Linked DNA regions of Oryzias latipes. The protein of the gene in region 2 purifies or fractionates together with the protein of the main gene of each other region. This does not show direct contact. Links are inferred from orthologs where the notes say so. Each region holds a gene or a part of one and is shown on either strand. Other genes may lie near its edges.

What was found.
Region 1: the proteins of mcmbp (region 2) and mcm8 purify together in Homo sapiens (co-immunoprecipitation; 3 studies listed by BioGRID and IntAct, with this or other methods). This does not show direct contact. The link is inferred for Oryzias latipes from reciprocal best matches to the Homo sapiens genes MCMBP and MCM8.

Annotation. Positions count from the first base shown.
Region 1 is NC_019873.2:6,458,698-6,462,448, reverse strand, and holds the start of mcm8 (DNA helicase MCM8), read right to left. Parts: upstream 2,619-3,751; 5' UTR 2,478-2,618; intron 2,049-2,477; exon of another isoform or gene 2,030-2,048; intron 1,919-2,029; 5' UTR 1,917-1,918; coding exon 1,709-1,916; intron 550-1,708; coding exon 484-549; intron 407-483; coding exon 324-406; intron 249-323; coding exon 99-248; intron 21-98; coding exon 1-20. UniProt on the Homo sapiens protein: Component of the MCM8-MCM9 complex, a complex involved in the repair of double-stranded DNA breaks (DBSs) and DNA interstrand cross-links (ICLs) by homologous recombination (HR).
Region 2 is NC_019873.2:29,884,996-29,888,746, reverse strand, and holds the start of mcmbp (mini-chromosome maintenance complex-binding protein), read left to right. Parts: upstream 1-1,385; 5' UTR 1,386-1,538; coding exon 1,539-1,596; intron 1,597-2,234; coding exon 2,235-2,326; intron 2,327-2,395; coding exon 2,396-2,536; intron 2,537-2,618; coding exon 2,619-2,660; intron 2,661-2,733; coding exon 2,734-2,823; intron 2,824-2,898; coding exon 2,899-3,022; intron 3,023-3,100; coding exon 3,101-3,246; intron 3,247-3,315; coding exon 3,316-3,413; intron 3,414-3,484; coding exon 3,485-3,657; intron 3,658-3,751. Other genes in the region: sec23ip (SEC23-interacting protein), read right to left, coding at 1-280, 840-972. UniProt on the Homo sapiens protein: Associated component of the MCM complex that acts as a regulator of DNA replication.

The DNA.
Region 1 (3,751 bases), about 23 Mb from region 2:
TCCAAATCTGTTGTCAACACCTGAAACACACACGCAGCTTGTCAGAGTTTGAAGGGATGACTGTGTGTAAAAGTGAAACACAAAGCCAGATTGTGTACCTGATGAATGGCCAAGCCCAAACAGCTGAGCATCACCTCCGGCTGCTCTTTCAGTGCCGTGACCACATCAGGGAGCGCTTGACTCACGCTTCGGTCTCCGGTCAGGTCAGCGTAGTCCACCAGCACGCTGCCCTGGCGCTCGATCTCATCCTGAACACATCAGGAAGTTTACAAACAGAGACTGACCGCCAGTGGAGGAAAGTAACGAGATCAAATATGACTGACTTTGTCAAAAAGATGAATCCTGGAGGTGAAATATTTCTCAAATACTTTGATCTTCTCCACACTGGGGGAGCTCTGTATAAATCCTACAAATTCAAATAAACATTAAAGGGAGAAAAAGACCTTAACCTTATGTGAGCGTTACATCTTCATCTGCACATACCTTCAGTGAAGTAGAGGCTCCAACCTTTGTATGGGCATGAGGCGTCCAGAGTGGTCTGAAAAGGGACTGAAGGGGACAAAAAGCAGCTTCTGAAAACACCTCCATTTCATATTTAGGGGTGAAGAATAATACTAAATCTTTACCTCACAGATTTTATACAGTAGAATATTATAGATTGTCATGTTAGGAAAGACTCCTCACATTTTGACCCAAAACAAAATTATTCAAATGAATAATTTTTAAAGCCTAAATATCTGTGTTTCAAGTGGATTAAATTAAAATATAAAATATGTATGTAAAATTAGAATTTTATATATATATATATATATATATATATATATATATATATATATATATATATATATATATATATATATATATATATATATATATATATATTTAATTTTACATCAAGAAACTTAGCAAATAAAGCAGATATTAGTTCTGCCATAACTTTAGTTTTTCTCAGTTCTTTTAAGACAAAACATGATTTTTTTTCCAATTCAAACTGATTTAAAATATAAAGATTCACAAAATTTCAGACCAGATGATCTTTTGGGGGAATTTCCTATCAGCGGAAAGGAAAACCTGTGTGAATCTCCACAGGGAAATCTATGAATACAATTATTAACGCCTCACTCTGTACTATTAGGAGCCGTTTTGTGACAGCACAAGATTCAATGTCGCCTCTGGGGCCCCCAGAAGCAGTCAAGGAGTCAAATCCGAGGAGGAGTGGATCACTTTGAAACCATCTGCGTGACGCTGAGAGATGATCAAACAGGACGTCAAACAGACATACTGTTTGATCTGCTTGATTGAATGACCCACTTTTATATTATCAACCAATAAAACCAGACTGGATACACTGGGAAGGCAGAACTCCTCTGTGACAGCTTTGGGCTGTGACAGACGGGCTTCTCCTTCTGCAGAAGTCTAACATAAATTCTCATCTCCTGTGGTTCTTCTCTTTGTTAGGGAAAAGTCGGTTTTTCCTCCTCATGCTTTCCACACCACATGTTTAGAACATGAGGCATTTCACAGGTAACGCTGCTTAGGTATGAATATACACGAGGGCAGAATGCTTAAACCCCTTGGCGTCACCAGGAAACAGCCACAGAGGGAGCAAACACAGATGTCAACCGTGTCTTTCTTCTGCAACATGAACGTTTCTTCAAGCAGTTTCCTTCTTCGTAAAATCAAAATGTGAAGAAAACATGGCACACACCTCTCTGAGAACTATAGGTCGGACTTGGTGATCCTCCGCCTCCAACACCCCTTCTCCAAGTTCCTGCAGAGCCTCTTCCACCCCCTGTGGATCCTCCTCCTCTCCATGGCCTGTTCTTCCATCCTCCTCCTCTCCATCCTCCTCTGCTGCCTCTCCATCCTCTACCACCGCCCCTGGATGAACCTCTCCTGGAGTCTTCCTCACTCATCCCTTTACAGTAATGAAGGCCAGAGAAAAGAACTGGTTTAAGCTAAACTAAAACATCGAGTAGAGGGAAAATGAAAGGAAAGTAAACATGATCATGAGTTTTACTACACTCACTGTGACACTGAGTGAGTGCAGAGACACAATGACAAACATCCAAGTTTAGACACCTTGCTATCCATTAAAAAAAAAAAAAATGCGAGTCTCTTTCTTTGGGGGTAAACACCCCCCCAATACTAGGATAGTGATAGTGAAGATAAAGTGAGAGTGACTCTAGTTACACGCATGTCTCTTAAGAACACAGACTACTTTTAAAAAGTCATACACTTAATAAAAAAGTTACAACAAACGGTTATGATCAGTTAAATTTAACAGAGCAACTGCGTCCTCACTGTGTCTGACTGTCACGAGTTAGCTAGCAACACCGGTTATCTTAAGCTTTTAGCGTCAGATACATGTATATGTCACGTGACATTTTAAGACTAGGAATATATTGTTCATGTCAGGTAGAACGGCGAAAAAAGACGATAAGTTACATAAATATGGAGTTAAATGCACGGTTTACCGAGCTTTTTGTAATTAAAATTCCCTCCTCGGACGTCAACTTCTTCTGTGAGTTTACCTAAACTGGCGAACCACTACTGCCCCTGGTGGTCTTCCTTGTCTTTCGGTTTTAGGCGGGCGATATCTGGCAGTTTTAGTGCATTGTCGCCGGAGTATGGAACGGCGTTCAGCAGTACAAAATAAAATAAAATAAAATAAAATAAAATAAAATAAAATAAAATAAAATAAAATAAAATAAAATAAAATAAAATAAAATAAAATAAAATAAAATAAAATAAAATAAAAATTACTTACATTTTTTATGTTTGTATTATATGTTTTTCCTGATTTACTTTTTGTTTTCTTCCTAAATCCTGAAGGGTTTTTAACATATTTCACTGCTTCATCTCCTTTATCACAATCACATGAACCTGAATGATGTTTTTGTGTTAAACCCATCATACTTTTCTCTTCCTTGCTTTGATTTTTTTTTTGTTATTTTCCTGAGAACACACATTGCTCCTGGTGGTTAGAGGTTGGTGAAAGTGTTCGGCAGTGGGGCTGCCATCAGTGTGTAAATGGAACTGTGGGTATGACCGAATTCGCACCGTAACCCCTATATAGTGCACTATAAAGGGTGTTTGCCATTTTGTAGTGCTGTCCTAATCTGCTTTTGCAAAATCGAATGCCCTAGAAATTTCCCAGAAGTCTTCTTTCTCTTTCGGCTTTTCCCATCAGGGGTCGCCACAGCGAATCATCGTTTTCCACTTCACTCTATCATGGACATCTTCTACCCTAACATTAGCCAACTTCATGTCCTCTGTTAAGACATCCATATATCTCCTCTTTGGCCATCCTCTTGCCCTCCTGCCAGGCAGCTCCATCTCCAACATACTTCTACCAATATATCCACTATCCCTCCTCTGAACATGTCCAAACCATCTCAGTCTGGCTTCTCTGACTTTGTCGCTAACACAGGCAACATGAGCCGTCCCTCTGATGTACTCGTTCCTTATCCTGTCTAACCTGGTCACTCCTAAGGAGAACCTCAACATCTTCATCTCCGCTACCTCCATCTCAGCCTCTTGTCTCTGTCTCACTGCTACCGTCTCTAACCCATAGAGCAGAGCTGGTCTCACCACTGTCTTGTACACCTTTCCTTTGAGTCTTGCTGGGACTCTTCTGTCACACAACACTCCTGACACTTTCCTCCACCCGCTCCAACCTGCCTGCACTCGCCTCCTCACCTCTTTTCCACACTCCCCATCACACTGAACTGTTGACCCCAAGTACTTA
Region 2 (3,751 bases):
TGGTAAACAGCACTGCCAAACGTTGAGGGAGGGGGGTTCATTTGTGAAGCTGTGGATGGCGGAGACATGGCGATGCTGCTGGGAAAAGAAACGGGTCCAGCAGCGGTTAAGGTCGAGGAGCGTCCTGCTGGCGGGCATGGTGACTGACCAATACTGGCAAAGGGGTCAGAGGTCGTTACGGGGTTGGAGAAGTAGCTGAAGGTGGAGGAGGCCGCCGGCGGACCGTTGGCCGAGGTCTGACCCAGGAAACTGTCTTCTTCTCCAACGTCAGTAGAGTCTTCTGATGGACACAAAGACGGGTCAACGTTTTCTGACACTGAAACTGCAGGTCAGGGTTTCTGTGAGGCTTCTCTAAACATCAAACTTCAGGAGTGAAGCTTCACCGCCGTCCACAACATTTCCAGCTTTCTCCATATGATTCTAAACTTTTATGAGCACCATGACATCCTGTGTGATCCTTTCCTAAGTGGAAACGATCAAACAGGATGTTATCGAGTGGTTTTCAGGCAATAAGCATGTTGACTTCACTAAAATACATGTATAATATATAAATAAAATAAATCTCTAAAAGACAGATTCCAGCATTTTAACAACAACATTGTTTTAAATCTGAACAAAGTTCATCCATTTACAACTCTTCACTAAAAATGTTTAAACTGACTCATTTTCTTTTAACAAAAGCAGATCCAGTGTTGCAGATAAAACGCGTCACTTTTTCATCTTTTCTCTCAATCTGAGGGTTTTTAAAGGCTGAAGCAGCACAGCTAGCTAACCGGCTAGCTTAGCTAGCTAGCTCTCGCCCTGACAACATTCGGACCTCCGTCCGCGGTTCCGCTCACCTCCTGACAGCACCGCCGGGCCCGACGCCTGACTCACCGGCATGAAAGGCAGGTTAAAGCTAAAGTCTGGAGCGGCACTAAAGAGTAAATTCGCGCTGCTGTCGGGACCACTGTTATTTTTTCTATCTGCCATTTTCAGCTGGATTTACACGTAGCCACAACCGGACCAGGCTGGCAGTAAATGCGAAAGAAACGTCTCCTGACGTCACAGTTTTCCCCGATCTCCAACACTCACGCGACACTAGATTTCAGTAAACATCTTAGCAGATGTTTTATAAATCTTCGAAACATACCCGATTGGCTTGACCCGAGGGGATCAATGTTTTTGGTGCTGCCATCTAGAGGCCCGGATGATGATTCAAACTCCTTTGGTTTTTTTTTTGCACCTTTTTTCTTCTTTTGTCAGAACAAAGTAAAATCTCGTGAGAGATAACAAATTTCTACTTAATTTGTAACGACTTCGGAATCCAAACCAGTTTTTAGGGCGGTGAACAAAAGCAAAAAGTTGCTTGTGGCTCCGCGCTCCGGTTTACTCCGGTTCTCGAATCAAACCAACCCCCTCTTGGTGCGCAGTGACGCAAATTTCGCGCCTCGCTTCTGCAATCCCGAGTGAGTGAAAAACTTATCGGAGAAGTGAAGCCGCGCGGGTTTTCCTCGCACGTTTGTCTTTGATTCCACGGGTTCAGTGGCCGGTTAGCGATGCTTTCCACGCAGGACTGGATTCACGCACCTCTCGGTGTTGTTGAAGAGAAGTTTGGTGAGAAACTTCCCTCCACAAACACTTAACGCCTCAGACTAGCTCGTTAGCCGCGCGCGCGTCCAGCCGCCCTCACATGGAGCTTTTTTTTTTTCCTTTACAAACTTTATTAAATGTAACATTTCAATACACAACAATGCAAAACAGCAACAAGAAAGGAATAAACCAGGTGGTTATTATTACATTTCACACAAAGACACTGAAACTGACGCACTGGTGCCGCTGCCCGCGGTGCATCAGTTTAAAACTTTATTGACACAGTCGGTGGACATAGACGAGAATCGGGCGCGCGGAAACCTTTACTGACTGTAGAAATGTCGTTCGGGGTTCGTCAACTTTTTGTTAGATCTAAAGACGTTTTTGTTTTGTCATACTGGTTCTTTTGAAGTGACTTCATATATACAGTCTCTGATGATGACGAATTCCTTCATGAAGAACGAAACCAACAATCTTGAAGTTCATTAAACATTTACTTTATTTCATTTTTAATGCCAATGTGTTTGTTATTTTAACATTTTTTTTAAACGATCGAATAAAATGACACATTCACACATGTTAATATAAAATGCAAACCGTAGTTTAAACCTTCAGCAGCATTCATTTGCTGCCGGAAATGACGTCTTCCTTTGATGCTGCAGCGGCTGCGCAGAAGGGTTCCTCCCCCGGGTGGGAGGCGGAGGTGGTGGAGTTTTTTAAGGAGCAGCTGAAGGAGAAGAGCGCTCAGAGTTTGGTGAGGAGAGTCCTGCAGACGGCGTCTTCACCGGCCGTCCGGTTCTGACCTTGTCCTTTTCTGGACCAGGTTCCGTCTCTCAACGACGTTCCCCTGCATTACCTGAAGCCCAACAGTTTGGTGAAGTTTCGCTGCTTCATCCAGGACATGTTTGACCCGGAGTTCTACATGGGAGTGTATGAGACTGTGGACGGACCCACGGATGCTAAAGTGAGTGTGCCCCCCCCCCCCCCCCCACATCTCTAGCATCAGCTGACCCCCCTCCCCCTCATTTGTCCTGTTTGACCCCCAGATGCTGCACTGTGGGAAGTACAGGGATGTGGCAGAATGTGGGGTGAGTCTGCATCCTGCTGCTGTCCTCAAAGGTGGTGCAGCCGCTTCAGCTCAGCTGTTGGTTTGAATCCCAGGTGGACTTTAACTCCAAGAACACCGTGACGGCAGAGCGGCAGACCTTCTACTGTGTGCCCATTCCTGGGGAGAACCTGTGGGTGAAGGACATATCCTGGGATCAGGGATCAGGTTCTCTGATGACAGTGTGAACAGTTGTGTGTTGTTCCTTAACCTGAGAGCACGGATATGCGGGCAGCAGCCAGGCGCGCGTGGTGGCGTCCACCTCCTACGTGCCGAGCAGGCAGAAACGCAGCTACGAGGAGGACGAGGACATGGACACGCAGCCGCAGAAGCAAGCTCACGCAGGTGTTTGTCTTCGCCGTCTGCTGGGTGTCGAACCTTAGGCGTCCTCCCCCCTCAAACGTTCTCCAAATATTTCTGCAGGTCTTCAGGGTCCAACGGACCTGCAGAGCAACGCCGACTGTAAGCGTCAAGAGACGGAGGCTCCTCCCACCCAGGCGGCGTCCGCATCCCACCTCGACCTCAACTTCCCCCTCCCAGGAGAGAGGGGCCCCGCCTGCCTGGTGAAGGTTGGAGCTGGACGAGCGCGTTGGTGGCTCCGGTGGGAACCCTGATCCTCAGGCTGTGCTCGTTGGCAGGTGTACGAAGACTGGGAGAGCTTCAAGCTGAACGACGCCCTGGAGGTTTTCGGGATCCTGTCCGTCAGTCCCGCTCTCAGCGCCCTGGCGGAGGAGAGGTGAGGCCCTCGCTTCGTAGCCCCGCCCCCTGTCTGCGTGCTGCCCGTCTCACCGCCTTTCTTCCTCGCAGAGACGCCTCCTCGTCCTTCCTGGACCCCACGGAGGGCATGGAGACGGCGGAGGAGCAGCGTGTGCACAGCCCGCCGGCCTCGCTCGTTCCCCGGCTTCACGTGCTCCACGCCAAACCGCTGCAACACAACAACCCGCTGCTGCCGCACGCAACCTCGGACGACAACGGCGCCTGTAAGGACGCGTGTTTTTGTAGAAACAGAAATGATTCCAGACTAGAAGAAAACGCCGAAACACCAAAACCAGTAAATTCTGTCGCTTCCGTGGA